Linked DNA regions of Oreochromis niloticus. The main gene of each other region encodes a partner of the protein of the gene in region 2 in a complex. Links are inferred from orthologs where the notes say so. Each region holds a gene or a part of one and is shown on either strand. Other genes may lie near its edges. The genes, in order: ppie and xab2.

Region 1 (7,427 bases), on a different chromosome or scaffold from region 2:
GCCCAGCTCGCTGCGTCAGCCAGGGCCCCGTGCCAACCTCAGACACATGAGTCCTAGCAGCAGCACACAAGGCCCACGAGGTGCATTCACAAAAAATTAGCATCAGTTCGTTGACTACGGGTTTGGAATTTGAAATTCATTGATGTTGATGTTATAGAAATGTTTTCCGTGTTAATAAAACTGCAATTTCTTCCTCATGGTTGCTAGCTGGTGGTCAGAGCATGGGGCCTCGTCCTTCAGTCGGAGTCTCCGGCCCTCGGGCCATGCCTCCTTACAAATACGCCACTGGTGTCCGTAACCCCAACCCCCAGGTGGTGCAACCTATTGCCTTACAGCAGGTGTCACATCATCTTACCACATTACCACACCCACATTAAGCGTCCAAATGTTGAAACATTGTTCCTCATTATGTCTTAACTGTGCCTTCCAGACTCAGCCAGCGGTGCACGTTCAGGGCCAAGAGCCTCTCACGGCCTCCATGCTGGCTGCTGCACCTCCTCAGGAGCAGAAACAGATGCTGGGTAAGACTGACAGTTACAAACAAATGCTGTTCAGGGCTTTTTTGGCAGATTTATACTCACTCACACTTTTTTTTTCCTCTGCAGGGGAGCGTCTGTTCCCACTGATTCAGGCCATGCATGCCAACCTGGCAGGAAAGATCACCGGCATGTTGCTGGAGATCGACAACTCTGAATTACTACACATGCTTGAGTCCCATGAGTCTCTACGTTCAAAGGTACCTCACTACCTCAAGCACACTGAATAGTCTGGTATCCATATTCTAAGCTGGGTCATGCTCATGCTTGTCGTCGTGTTTGTACAGGTGGAAGAAGCTGTTGCAGTTTTACAGGCACACCAGGCCAAGAAAGACGCCACCCAGAAAGTAGGTGGCATGGCTCCTACTGCTGCTGCTGCCACATCCTGAAGACTCTGAGCTATTCTAACTTGGTATGGAAATACATATTTAGTCAAGCTAATCAATCAGGTTCATTAGGCTATACATAATAAAGCTTGTGTGGCACTAATGGGAAGACACTGTGTTGTTTCAGAGCACAGAAAACTGAGAGGAGATGGGAAGAGATGCACTACACTGGAAAGCCCAAAGTCTTCTGAACAATCACACAAAAACAAAAATCAAGAAAAAAATGGAAAACCTTATTTTAAATGTACACTTTGAAAAAATATTACATAATGCATAATTTTGTAGTTCTGTAATACTTTTACGCTGCATACCAGATGCAGTGATGCAAATGAATCTTGGACAAAGGCCCTTTATTTTGTGGCAAAGGAGAGGAAGTAAAAAGAGCCTTGTTCTTTGTCTTTGCTTGAAAGCTTCATGTTGGTGTGAAATGACTCCTCCATCCTAACACGTTATCAACGGGTGTGTGGTAATTTCAATAAAGGGATGATATATCCAGGTGACTCACCTTGTGTTATTTTAATTGAGAAGGAAAGTGTGCAGAAGGAGAGAAGCATACCACGTAATCTGTGACACGTGGTGGAGGTAATGTTACAGCGTGGGCAGTGGAACTGGACCACCAGTGTTTAATGATGATGATGTGACTGTTGATGGAAGCAGCAGGATGTGATGGGAAGTGTGCAGAGCTATAGTCTCTGCTCAGATTCAGACAACCAAGCAGAGAGCACTACAGCGTGCAAATGGATAATGACACGGAGCTGCAAAAACAAGAGTTTACTCAAGGTAAATAAACGGGATAATCTTCAGTGACCAAGTCAGGCACCTGATCTCAGCCCAATAGAGCAGCTTTTGCTCATTACTGAAGATAAAACTGAAGGCAGAGACCCACAAACCAAGCAGCAACTGAAGGTGACTGCAGTGACAGCCTGGCAGAGCATCTCAACAAAGCACCTGATGATGTTCGTGGGCTCCAGACGTCAGCAGTCATTGACTTTTCATCCAAATATTAAAAACCAAAAAATCATCAAATCATCAAAAATAAATGGGGAACTATTTAAAAAAAAAAAAGGCTGTAATTCAAAACTTTTAAACTCCTTAAATTAATGCTAAAGTCTGCACTTCAATCAAGTCTTGACTGTTTAAAATAAAATCTGCTGTGGTGGTGTACAGAGGCAAAACTGCAAAACCTATTAATGACCAAACACTAATGAACTAAAGCGTAAGTGTGTGTCTGACAAACACTTTGCTACCAAGTAGTACCAAAACATCGTAACATCTCCACAAGTATTAAAAACATATAAGTTGTGTTTGGTGTTTTTTAGGGTGTTTGTTTTTTTGTTTTTTTAGCATTAAATCAAAAAGAAGGAAAAAAAGTCAAGAAAAGTTTCCCTATATTCAAATTATCAAGTGGGAATAAAAGTGGCTTTGCAGTGCTTACACATGACTGAAAATGCAAATTTTGCAAAGAATTAATAGGTTGTAGTAAAATATCAAACTCTATTTTTAGCTTGTCCTATTAACTGTTTTGAGGAATCTAGAAGTTTGCAATTGATTTCTGCTATTTGTGATTAATTTCTCTGACGGTTTAAAGGACTGGGTTCAGGCAGAGAGAAAATATCTAACTTAGGAGAGACGTGTGGAAATTAGTTTGCAGGTGGATAATTATGGGTGTTGAAGGTCTACTGTCTTTCACTCCAGTGCAAATAAAGAAACACAATCAGGATGTTTTATGTTGTGAACACCTTTGGCAATGAAGGAAGTGAATAGTTCTTTTTCCTCTTTAAGCTCCCTAATAAGTCATTGTGATAACGTGACAGCACGCACAAAAGGTTTGTCACCGTCGCAGGAGAGAGTCCACAATAAAATGAATTACTGCTGAATTCCATTTAGCTTAAACAGCCACATATTGCATTTTATTGGCAGGGTTGGGTCCCATTATTCGGAAATGTCAGGTGCTGAATATAAATAGCATGGCAAACCTTGTAAACTCTTTTAAGCTGCAAGATGTTTCTGAGTTAAAGATTTTGCAGAGGGAGTTTGACTCTATTAGAAGTTAATGAGGAGAAAACAGGAGCCTTTAATAATTTTATGCCTAAAGTAATGAAACTCTAGGTCCTCTTGCCACTTTTGCTAAATCTTCTGTTGGAAACCTTGGAGTAAGTTTTGACTCAGCCTTCACGTTAGATCCTGCTTTGCTCTTGTTTTTGTCACTAAGAAGTCTTAAAAAGTTGTGTTCCATTGTGTTGTGGCTTTATTTGTTCAAATCTGGATTGCTGTAATTCATTATTCACTTGTCTCAACAAAACATCCTTAGGAAGGTCTGCAGACCGTGACTTCTAAGTCTTCTAAGCACTCATGTCACACCACTGCTAATTCAGTTGCACTAGCTCCCAGTTAACTTCAGAGTCCACATTAAAATTCTGGTTTTGCCTTCAGAGCTCTGCATGAGTAAAGCACCAGCATACATCAGGAACTCTTAACTTCACACATCCCCAGCAGGTCCCTGAGGTCATGTGATCAGAGAAGGTAACTAAAAGGGACCAAGCTTTTTCAGTGGCGGCCTGCAGGCTTTGGCTCTCTGTCTGAGCCTACATCTGTGGACGCGTTGGTATCTTTATTTTTATTTTTTTTTAAAACCTAAAAACTCAGTTAAAAAAACAACTTCCTGCTGGATCATTTATTTCATCTTTATGTTTTTAGTATTTTGTTGTAAAATTTATCTAGACAAGTGCTATATGAAAAAATGTTACTCTAGATTACTTTAAACTGTAAAATAATCCACTGGATTATAAAGAATAGTTGGAATTTCTTTAGATTATTTAAAAATGCGTTATTCAAATTTTGCTGGCCACTGGGCGAAGCCATCACTGACACTGATGACTGACAGCATTGCTCTCAAAATGCTTGAAACAAAATTCTGTACGCTTGTGAATTACTTTTATTTTTGGCTTACTAACATGGAAGTTTGCCTGTAAGGGTTTCTTCATTTGTTTTGAGGGACCCATTGATAAAATAGTTTAACATCTTTCCTCTGCACCAGGCTGATTAAAGTTACTTATTTCTTGTAATTTGATTACATAGTCTTAATAACTAAGCTGGACAGTCTTGGACAAAAATAAATTAAATATTTTTCTTTTCAATCAAAGCAAAGATCGGATTGCATCGTGGCTTTAAAACTATAAATGTAGTCCAAATTAAAGTAAAATGCAGTTTATTGGCGATAATGGGAGATTCCTCCGACAGAGGGCGGTAGAGCTCACTAATCTGAGGCTGCTTGTTTTAGTTCGGGTTCTCTCCACCAATGGGAAGCTGCTGGGTTCAAAGTTGAAGGGTTAAATCCAATATGGCGGCTAACAAGCGGGTGTTGTATGTGGGTACGTTATGGCTGTTTTTTGTTAAACTTTCGCTGTTTAGATGTGTGTAGCTGACGTGTTTACGACTGTATTATAAATCTATACCGTAGCAGTAATTCTGCGCATGTCAGGAACACGACAAAGACGCAGGAGAGAGAAGTTTAGCCGGAAAAATGAGCGCACGTTAGTTTAACCCGGCATGTAAATACTGTCCGTTATCCCAGCTCTGTACACTGTATTTGTTTGAAATGTTTTTCCCTTTTTTAAAATGCGGATCTGAAAAATGCGTGTTTATGTCAGGCGGTTTGGCAGAAGAGGTGGATGAGAAGGTGCTCCATGCAGCTTTTATTCCTTTCGGAGACATCATCGACATCCAGATCCCGCTGGACTATGAAACGGGTAAGATCAGGACCGTTTTGTCCACGATTAACAATAAACCCTGCAGCAGCACAGAGATGAAAGTGTTCGCTTTGTCTTGTGTTTTACATTTTCAGAGAAGCACAGAGGGTTTGCATTCATCGAATTTGAGCTGGCAGAGGTGAGTCCGGCTTATACAGCCTGCAGTGTGCTAATATTAGCCTATTAATGATATTATGTAAATGATATGCAACGGAACAAATATCACTGGCTCAATCCATGTCAGGTCAGATTTTCCTGTAAGAAAACTCCAGGCAAAAATTTCTTTTTAATAGGAATTATGCAAAATGTCCGGTTCCTACTGTCATTAAAATTCTTACTAAAAATACTTTACGGGGATGAACCTGTTGGGACATTCTTGTAGTGTCATTTTAAAAACCTGTTCTCTATAACGCTATAGATAACAGTCGTGTCGTGCTGCTTACATGCTGTGAGCCATGATAGAAACAAATAAAACGCTGGGACTTTTTTCCTCCTGGGTCCTCGTGCTTTCGTGTGATCAGTTTTTTTTAGGGTCAAACATACCTGTCCCTCCAGTTCTTCCACTTCTTTGTAAATTCTCTCTCATCTACTCTGATAGTTTCAGCCATCGCCCTCCAGGAATTTGCTTGACAGCAGCAGGCCAGTCACAGTAGCTGCGGGCTGCATCGACCACAGCAGTTAGATTTTGAGGGAACTGGATGTCATGTTATACTATAGGTTAGGTCGTAGGGTTTCAAAGGGGTTTGCAGTTATAATGTAGCTACAGTGTAGATTTCCCGCTGAAGCATAAATCCCCTAGTAAGGCACATAAGGAAACACACACCACACCTGAAGGAAACAAATTTTCATTCATCTCGAGTGTGTAATTCCTCAGGTATGACACCACGTACCAAATCACCGTTTTCTCTCTCATTTTTGAAATATCCATCTTTTTTTTTAATTTGATGAAATGACCCTATCACAGATTATTTTATGCACGTGATGGTCTGCTCTCTATACTTTTATTTAAATTTAAATTGCAATGACCTTCCACTTCCTTGTGATTAGTTTGTCTGTTCACCGCTGATCGTGTCATCATTGGTTAGTATTAACTTGGGTATTAGTCATTAATTATTATTCATCTGCATGTTGCAGTTTTAGGAGCCGGGAATTTACCAAAGTGAGTCACTTGAATGGTTATTGGTGACTTAAGGTGAAACATATTTCTGTCCTCATAACCCATTTATGGCTTCTTTCTCATCTTCTGCAGGATGCTGCAGCAGCTATTGATAACATGGTAAGTTTCTCACATAACTGCTTCACCAAAGACATGTTATTCCCATCAAATAGCCAAAAAACAGCATCAAATGAACCCTTTTATGTCTTTTACCTTCTTGCTGAAGAGTCAAGCGTGTTTTCTCCAGTTACTCCGGCTTCCTCCCACAGTCCACAGACATGCAGTCGGGGGGGTTAATTGGTGATCCTGGCCTAGGTGTGAATTTGCGGACAAACGGTTGTCTGTCTCTGGGTCAGCCCTGCGACAGCCTGGCGACCTGTCGAGGATGTTCCCCCGCTTCTCGCCCTATGACAGCTGGGATAGACTCTGACCCCACCACGACCCTAAATAGTAGAAAGTCTTGGCAGATGATTGAAAACAAGAGAGTCACCTAATAATTTGTTTTCATTAAGTGTCATAAAGGATAGTCCAGTGTATCATCTGCTAAAGGAGGTATTAAAGGAAGCACTGAAGCAGGTTTCCTTAGTAGTTCGGGATTTGGAGCAGCTCTTATTGTGGCTGTTACGCAGACACTCACAGATAACATCACTCTGTCAGGAACCTTGTAATTTTAAATAAAATTAAAACCTGATTATTGTTAAAATGTTTTTTTATCCCTCTAGAATGAGTCTGAACTTTTTGGAAGGACTGTCCGCGTCAATATCGCCAAGCCCATGAGAATCAAAGAAGGTTCTTCTCGACCAGGTGAATAATAAACACTTCATCCATTCTGTTTGTCTCTTTTTTTAAAAAAAGAAGTAGCGGTTGAAACTTTAAGTCTGCCTTTCCTGCAGTGTGGTCGGATGATGACTGGTTGAAAAAGTTTTCTGGGAAGACCGTAGAAGAAGCTGAGGCAGAGGCAGCAGCTGGAGAAACACCCCAAACTACAGCTCAGGAGGTGAGAGGATTTCACTTCTAATCTGTGTCTCTGTGGGGTCGTGACTTTATAAATCTTTTAAGATGCGAGGCGGTAATTTGTTCTTGCAGGGTGAGCCGCCGGCTAAAAAAGGCAGAGTAAATCCTCAGGTCTACATGGACATAAAGATCGGCAACAAGCCAGCAGGGAGACTGCGCTTCCTGCTCCGGGCTGACATTGTTCCCATGACAGCAGGTGTGTATGTGTATATGCTACACATCCCAAAGTTTTCCCAGAGTTTTCTTCTTTCTCTGAATGGTCTCCATGTTTGTAGAAAGAAACTGTGGTATCTGTTAGATTAAATCTTCTTTTATTTTGAATAGAGAACTTCCGCTGCTTGTGCACTCACGAAAAGGGCTTCGGCTACAAGGGCAGCAGCTTCCACCGCATTATCCCTCAGTTTATGTGTCAAGGAGGCGACTTCACCAACCACAACGGCACGGGCGGGAAGTCCATCTATGGCCGGAAGTTTGATGATGAAAACTTTGTCCTTAAACACACCGCTCCAGGTGAGCAGTCGTTTATGCTGCTCTGAGAAGGTGCAGTGAAGCGTGTCAGCAAGACTCCTGGTTTTTACCTGATGTA
Region 2 (8,531 bases):
TAAAATAAATACAAATATGTAAATGGTTTCATAAGTTTAAAAGGTGATGCAACTACTTATATTACACCCTTTGCTTAAAATTGCCTTTGTAAACAACTGCAAACATTTTTACTCGGTGCAAGTGAAACTACAGCCTATAACTTCAGTTACCAGGTGTTAATTATATTTTGAAATATACTTTCAAAAGACATTTAAATAACAAGTCTAACAAATGTCTTCTTTATTTCACAACCTGGTCATTCCCAAACAATATATGATGCCCACAAGATGTTCCTAAATATGGCTCCAAAAAGGATCATGTGCATGATGTATATGATGCAGATCAGTTACCCTCAGAATTCGTAGTGCCTGTTCGTAATTCTCATGACGAAGTTCCATCTCTCCATATTCACACCACACTGCAGCAAGGTCATCCACCTGTTTGTAGTTCACCTTGGTAGCCTTCTCAAAGATTGTCCTCGCCTGAGTTGAGTTAGTAAATAAAGTTAGTAAATACAGGGAACTAACAACAATAACAATAATAATAATAATGATAATAATGATACTAATACTACTACTACTAATAATAATAATAATAATGAATGATCTGAAAAAGGTAAACGTAAGTTTAAATAATGACTTACATCGTCCAGCTGCTCATTTTCCTCATAGAATTTAGCAAAGAAAACCCAGAGTGAGTGAGGTTTCCCTGTGGCCTTCATTGGATCAATAGTCTGGACTGCCTCCGTGTATGTGTTGATGATCTGAAGAAAATAGGGCTATTTATTAGTAATTCACTACATGAAGGTAGTTTTTTTGTGTGTGAAATGTATATATTGTGACTTGTGCACTGTCCCAATCATTCGCAAAATATTTAAAACCCACCTGTCGTGGATTTCCGTCATACAGTTTTACCCGCTTGTGCCACTCATGAACATTATGGGGGTTCTGTCTCAAGAGTACACTGTTCAACAAGAGGGGTCGCCGGGCAATGAGCTGCTCAAAGCGGGCAAGTCTTAGCTCCAGGTCTATGTCATCTGAGTGGAGAAAAACAAAGAGTAATGTACACATGAAAAAAACAAAACAAAAAACAAAGACAGTTATCAAGATTAACTGATGCACACATACTCACCATTCTCATCCTGCCCCATCTCAGCTGTAGTCTCCATCTTAGCAGCGATCATGCTCTCCTCAAATTGAGCATAACTGTCAAACACTTGTGTGAAATCCCTTACAGTGACTACTGTAAGGATGGCCTCTTCATAGACATCACGTGCCTGAGGAAAAAAAAAATGTTTGGCTACAGTTGGACAAACTCACTGATAACAAATTATTTTAATGCAAAATGACTCAACCTAAAATAAAAGGTAAAGTAGAGATGTGTTTTAGTTACTTATATATATTAGGGGTAAAAATGAATGCTATTCAGAGGAAACACACTTTCTCAAAGTGGCCACTCCTGATGTAATAGTCAGCTAAGGAGCACCAAAGTTTTCCAAGTTGATCTGTGAAGCGAGTGAGGCCTCCTCGAATGATGGCTCCTACATTCAGAGAGGTCACCTTGTCAGGATTCTGGGAGATCAGGTCACATAGTTCATGCCACAGCTGTCCAAAAAAAGAAAAGAAGAAGAAAAACATTTTTTTTTATATTTTTTTCATGTAGCTTAAAAGGCTGGAGTGTTGAAAAGTGTCTGGAAGAATCCCATCTTACTTGATAGTTAGACTTTCCCTCTTTGGACACAAAGTTTTCATCATTGACAACAGCTGCTAGCCGCACAGCTGCTTCATCGAGGCGGCCAACAGACCGCAAGTAGTCTATGTATTCTTCTGCATTTTCTGGAGAAAGCTACAAGGTATCAAGAGAAGACAGTAAGACATTAAACATTCAGAAAGAAATATTTTCACAGGTATTCTGCATGAACAGATTAGGGAACTTGTCTATCTTTTAAAACTTTCTTAATCAGCCATAAAGCTTGTTATTGAATGCATGTAAGGTCTTTTGGATAACAGCTAAGAATCTTCAGAGGCTAAGGACAACATTTATGCCACAGAATACACTTTGACAGATGACACCTGTAAAACAAAAATTAAATCAGAAATCACCTTAACATTTTAAATGACAGCTGCTGTATAGACTTAAGGTTGTGCAGTATGTTCTCACCTTAAGGTACCTGCGGTACACTCGGATGGCTGTTTCAGGCAATGGCAAGTCACGGACAAAGCGGAGATACAGAGGCCAGATGCGTGGGTGCTGAGTTACAGGAAGAGCTCTAAGTGCTCGGTCAAATGTTCTACGACTTCTTGTGATCTTGCATTGAGACACAAGGAACTGGCAGTAATCCATCCATATTCTAGGCATCTAGTTTAAGTAAAGACAGTTAGTTTTATGCAAAGCTCTTGCAGACCAAATGTTACTTTTATGAGTAAAGTGGCTAAGCATCAAGATCTATAGGAGGTATTACCTTGTGCATGAACACTAGTGCCCTTTCATGACAATTATTGACTTCTTCATAGGCTGGTTCTGTGATACATTTCCCTTTGACTTGTTTTCGCCTCTCTCTCAGATAATTGTACCACAACTTATAGCTGCAAAAATGAGTGGGAAGGGTGGTTAGACACTTGGGAAATAGTTGCTGCACAGAATCTTGTACAATAATGTATAGTCTATGGGTTTTGAGTTATCCGTTGCTATTGGCTTCTCAGCACAATGTCCACAATTTTTTTTGTAACGGTCTCTTGTTAGTTACCTGCCAGGGAGTTCTTTTAGAGCCCGCTCATATATCATATTGAGGGTAGATTTTGGTCCATTCTGTTTGAATTCGATGTAACGCATCCAGCACTTGACTGAATATGGATTCCTGATGATCTCCTCTTCATAAGGTAGATCGTCGTCCTCCTAGTATCCAGAAATCAAACAGCGGTGTTACTATTGTAGCGATTTTTCACAGTTAATAACTCATAAAAAAAATAAAGATAATTTCTTTGTGTCAAATGTGTAAGCACAGTCGATTTGGCAAAACGTTATCTCTGATTTCAAGCTTTATCAAACTTCCACATTAGCTAGAATAAAGTTAAAGTTAATGCTAGCTACCCAAAACCTCTAATCAACAAACACTAACAAATGTTCTGTGAAATATACGGTGTAGTGTAACTTACAAATATGACATCGGTTTTTCCGTTTAATGTTTTCATTTCTTCACAGAAAAGGCGGCTGTTCCGGATAAAAGCTATGCTAACTTTAGCAAGCTAATACTAGCTTGCCTACTCAAAGCGTGTGTAACCCTCACAGGAACTTCCGGTGCCAGAGTGCACAACCCGAGTCACAAAAAACTACAAACGGCGCGATGTTTGTAGTTCAGAAGAGCTCTCGCTTACATTAGCCCAGAAAAAATATGTTTATAGTTTCTTCTGTCTAAAAAAATCTACATTTAATATCAACGTCTTCTTTTAAGTAATTTAGGCAACAGTGCGTCTCTTATTGGCAAAGGAAAATATAACCTTTATTAACTGATGGAAATCAAATCCAATACAAAAATGCAATGACACAGGTACATTTAAAATCTAGCAGATATGCATTGTTTTAACTATCTGAGAAAGAGGTGAGCCATATGCCTGAATTTCAGTCTTGAAACATTTTCTGTAACTGTTTTCTTTAAGTCATGGTAGGTGAAGCTCTGCTGGTAAAACATTTTCTGTCAGCACAAGGCAAATAATAGTTCTAAAATATGTACAGTGCTTAAGCAGGTCATCAGGTCACACTGTAGGCTATCCTATATCAACATATAAATCATTGTAGTAAAAGGATTACCGACTTGGGTCTCTATGGACCCCAGGAATAAACTACTGTAAGAAAACACCATCTTGCAAAATGTTCTGATCTCAATCTGACCTTTTGTTAAAATCAAAGAATAAATGTACTGAATAAATAAATTTGGTTCAAATATAGTTTTTTTTCTAGTTGCACATGAAGCATCTAATGTTTACAAGGAGCTATAAAAAATTGCATAGTGTGACGAAACCTGCCCACTGCACCTATGATTATCGTCTTAGAAATTACAGAAAGGTATACCTCTGGGGTCTGTGAATACACAAGTTAACAGAAGTCCAGTTAATGAAAACGGAGAGAAAAATCTATTTATTTTTGCAGGACTTTTTTTTTTTATTTTTTACAAAAGTAAACATGTCATAATGTTTTATAGCATTTAACAAAAAACACCAGTTTCCCCTTTTTGACTGATATAATTATCTACACCATCATTAGCCAACAGAAGTCATCAAATTATAACTGTTCATACTTGCTCATATTTTTCAGCAAACAAGTTTTGCACAGTGAAAGTGAATTACAGCAGTCATTTGCAAGTCTTGTAGCTTCAGCACAGATGCATGAATAGGCAGGACAACGAGATGCTCAATAAATATGGTTAATATCTCAGCCCTTAAGTTATATGAACCCAGTTAGATTTATATAGTTCTATGTCAACCTAAAGACATATTTAAAACTGTGATTCTGCATTTTGTTTTAATTCCTCTGAGTGGCATTCAGGCAGCTGTCAACCATTTGGGAGATTATATAGATTATTCTACTTTGGGGACTATGCTAGTAATGTTTTAAAATGAAAGTCACACAGTTGATCAAGGGCACCATGTTTCAAAAACAAAAACAACATCAAATGTAGCTTGAGGATAAAGATCTTTGACAGAGGTTGTCTCTACTTACCCACACTATTAAACATGTTCATAGCCAGGGAATGGGAATTCATTTTGAGGGAGCACCTAAGAGGTGCTGGTGTACAGTTGCAGAACATTGGCACATCTCATATTCCTCTAATAAAACTGAATGTAAGGCCTTTTCCATAAAGTTCAACTGGTATTACACATTGCCTTATAAGCACTAGAAGAACATTTGCCAACCGGGCTGAGATAAGACCTATAATAAGTCCCACTCAGATAGATGTGCCAATGCACTGCAACTGTATACCAGCAACACATGGAGGCTTCTCCAAAATTAATTTTCATTCGTAAGAACATGTTTAATAGTGTGGCTAAGTAGTGACAACCTCTCACTATAAAATAAAATAGAAAAATATTTCTCAAGTAAATCAGATTCAAATATTACCTAAGTTAATGATTTATTGGTGAAAATTCGTGCTTAAAAAATTATGTTCATTGAGTAGCATCTATTTTAGTGCATACTTTAGACATTACTCTTTTTATGAGCTGAAATAAAGCTATTGCCAGTGTTTATCTAGAACATATTGCACAATATTACTAACATAAAATTGCATTCTCTTTAAAATTAACATATTTTTTGTGAGGGGTTGACTTTTCTTGTTTTTGAGTCATGTAAACGATACTACATTTTACAGTATTTTAAATATCTGAAATGTGGACAAGCTCTGACACTCAATACTAATGACATTTCAGTGCATCTTTCTAAAGGGAAAGAGGTAATGGGTTTAAAAATGGAAGTCAAAGCACAACTCCTGTAATAGATTATTTATGTTTTCAAAATGGCTATAATTTGATCTTTTCACATCATTCAACAAGGATGACATAGAACATACAATGTCCCATGCAATAAAGGAACTTGAAGCTGCTTTATTTGACTATTTATTTATTTTGATTTTCAATTTTACTATATTTCTATAAAATTCTTCTCCTGCTTGACTGATTAATTTAATATTTTTTTCCTTTTCCTGTATTGGAACTATTTTCTTATTTAAGCAAGATAAAATCTGGTACGCAAAAAGCTGAGTAAACATAATATGTCACAAGAGGGGTCTTAAAATGACAGGGATGCTTGACCAAATCGAGAGGCAGACTGCTGCTGACCAAGCTGTTTAAGCCTGTATAAAAGCAACTACTTCAGTCTCCTCAGAGAACTGAAAGGCATCCTCAACAGGTCAGTGCTTGTTTGTTTTTTTAAACTGAATTAACTTTTAATCAAATTTATCGTAGCTGTTTGTTCCATTTTTTCAATTTCATTTTAGCACTCTTGAAGGAAAGGAAATATCAAATGCTATTGATTTACTGATTTACTCAACTAGATTAAATCTTTCATTAAGAGTTGTAATGAAACACTTGAAATGTTGTGTATGGATTACTGAATGTTTGAAAACTGTTAAAAAACAACAACTATGCAGCCAAGGAAGACTGCTTAACCAAAATTCTATGTAATGTGACTGCTGTAGGTGATAGCAGTGCAAATATGTTGACTTTGTGTTTTCTTTCATCTATATTTTTCTTTAAATGCATCTTCAGATAACAACAGATCAGAGCCACTCAGTAGGGATAAAGTGAGGTGAGATGTGTCTTAAATAACACAACTCCCAAATGGTTATAATAATGTTCATTAAAAAATATTTCCAAATTATGTAAAACTATATCACAATTTAACATGTTCCAACTCATTCATATCCCTTCTCCTTTTGTCAGTTACCACTAAAGTGCCACCATGAGCACAGACGCAGAGATGGAGCAGTATGGCCCTGCGGCCATTTATCTCCGCAAGCCAGAAAGGGAGAGGATTGAGGCCCAGACTGCTCCATTTGATGCCAAGACGGCTTACTTTGTGGCTGTTCCTGATGAGATGTATGTCAAGGGCAAACTTGTCAAGAAGGAGGGTGGTAAAGCCACTGTTGACACACTTGGAGGAAAGGTAAGTGAATATTCATAAAAGATTCTAACTTTAACAATTCCACCCATTCAACTTTCTCCCGAAAACAGATAAGATTAATATTATATGTTACATAATGTACTTATTAAATTTTTTAAAAATTGTTTCTTTCTATGTAGACAGTCACTGTAAAAGAGGATGACATCCACCCCATGAATCCCCCAAAGTTTGATAAAATTGAGGACATGGCCATGATGACCCACCTCAATGAGCCTGCCGTGCTGTTTAACCTCAAAGAGCGTTTTGCATCATGGATGATCTATGTAGGTGTTTAACAAACATTTAATAATAGTGTTTGCCTGTTCTCTACTTTTCTATACTGGGAGAAGTTATTAAAATGATATAGATGTCCAGTGTGGACACAATGACATTTGTGAACTTACTCTGCTTTCCAGACTTATTCCGGCCTCTTCTGTGTCGTCGTGAATCCCTACAAGTGGCTTCCTGTGTATGACGCTCAGGTTGTTGTGGCATACAGGGGCAAAAAGAGAGTTGAGGCTCCACCGCACATCTTTTCCATCTCTGATAATGCCTATCAGTTCATGCTCACTGGTATGTTTTATTTTAGAGGATATACTAAATATATATATACATTTAGAATATCATGTAGGATATACATGAAATATATATATATATATATGAAACACAAAACATGGCATAGCACATCTGATGTTTCATCAGCACAGTATTTTGATCATTTGTGGTTTTAAATTAACAATCAATTTAAGTATTTGTTCTTTTTAGATCGTGAGAACCAGTCTATCCTCATCACGTGAGTAATATACCAATAAATGAATGTCAGATATGAAAAAACACACAATAAAACTCAATTCAACTCTTTCTTTCTCCAGCGGAGAATCTGGTGCAGGAAAGACTGTCAACACTAAGCGTGTCATCCAGTACTTTGCAATAATTGCAATGACTGCATCCAAGAAGGCAGAGCCTACACCTGGCAAGATGCAGGTATAACTGCTTTTACTTGGAAAAAGTAAGTAAAGTTTTTACAGTATACCAAAAAAGGTGTAACATAATTTTTCTAGGGTTCCCTGGAAGATCAAATCATTGCAGCTAACCCTCTGCTGGAGGCATATGGTAATGCCAAGACTGTTAGGAATGACAACTCCTCTCGCTTTGTAAGTGTTGGAACAGAAAAGAATACCAGGTGTGAAAGCAAACTGTCAAAAATAACTGTTAATTTAAATCTGATACGTTTAGGGTAAATTTATCAGAATTCATTTTGGAACCACTGGCAAACTGGCTTCAGCTGATATTGAAACATGTAAGTTATTTTAATTTTTCTTTTTTTACATTTTATTCACTGTTGCTGTCTGATGTTATGAAATCTGCACACTTTTGTCTCACACTGAATTTTTGGTCTTAGATCTGCTGGAGAAGTCCCGTGTCACCTTCCAGTTGTCTGCTGAGAGGAGCTACCATATCTTCTATCAGCTAATGACAGGGCACAAGCCTGAGCTCCTGGGTAGGTACTGACTGGTATTTGTACGGTGAAGTTTAATTTGGATTCATAGCATTTATTTATTTATGCATTTCTTCTGGTCTTTCAGAGGCTCTTCTGATCACCACAAATCCCTTTGACTATCCAATGATCAGTCAGGGTGAAGTGACTGTCAAAAGCATTAATGATGTGGAGGAGTTCATTGCAACAGATGTAAAGACTCAGTTCATACCTTTTCTTAGACTGCAAATATATATGTATATGTATATATGACAAAAATATCACAATGTTAATTATTACCTTTTATGTGCAATTCAGACTGCAATTGACATCTTGGGCTTCACTGCTGAGGAAAAAGTGGGCATCTACAAGCTGACTGGTGCTGTGATGCATCATGGCAACATGAAATTCAAGCAGAAG

What was found.
Region 1: xab2 (region 2) and ppie share a complex: the UniProt entries of both Homo sapiens proteins name them as parts of the XAB2 complex. The link is inferred for Oreochromis niloticus from reciprocal best matches to the Homo sapiens genes XAB2 and PPIE.

Annotation. Positions count from the first base shown.
Region 1 is NC_031983.2:27,578,099-27,585,525, forward strand, and holds the start of ppie (peptidyl-prolyl cis-trans isomerase E), read left to right. Parts: upstream 1-4,179; 5' UTR 4,180-4,262; coding exon 4,263-4,293; intron 4,294-4,315; exon of another isoform or gene 4,316-4,445; coding exon of another isoform or gene 4,446-4,455; intron 4,456-4,572; coding exon 4,573-4,671; intron 4,672-4,766; coding exon 4,767-4,810; intron 4,811-5,920; coding exon 5,921-5,947; intron 5,948-6,549; coding exon 6,550-6,631; intron 6,632-6,720; coding exon 6,721-6,824; intron 6,825-6,913; coding exon 6,914-7,037; intron 7,038-7,165; coding exon 7,166-7,351; intron 7,352-7,427. Other genes in the region: pabpc4 (polyadenylate-binding protein 4), read left to right, coding at 1-80, 208-338, 431-521, 606-736, 824-925. UniProt on the Homo sapiens protein: Involved in pre-mRNA splicing as component of the spliceosome. Combines RNA-binding and PPIase activities.
Region 2 is NC_031969.2:23,555,132-23,563,662, reverse strand, and holds the start of xab2 (pre-mRNA-splicing factor SYF1), read right to left. Parts: upstream 3,296-8,531; 5' UTR 3,172-3,295; coding exon 3,136-3,171; intron 2,876-3,135; coding exon 2,727-2,875; intron 2,566-2,726; coding exon 2,442-2,565; intron 2,339-2,441; coding exon 2,141-2,338; intron 1,826-2,140; coding exon 1,691-1,825; intron 1,585-1,690; coding exon 1,420-1,584; intron 1,257-1,419; coding exon 1,112-1,256; intron 1,017-1,111; coding exon 865-1,016; intron 744-864; coding exon 624-743; intron 463-623; coding exon 331-462; intron 1-330. Other genes in the region: myosin heavy chain, fast skeletal muscle, read left to right, coding at 6,434-6,637, 6,775-6,918, 7,051-7,207, 7,400-7,427, 7,507-7,618, 7,696-7,788, 7,871-7,934, 8,037-8,135 and 2 more. UniProt on the Homo sapiens protein: Involved in pre-mRNA splicing as component of the spliceosome. Involved in transcription-coupled repair (TCR), transcription and pre-mRNA splicing.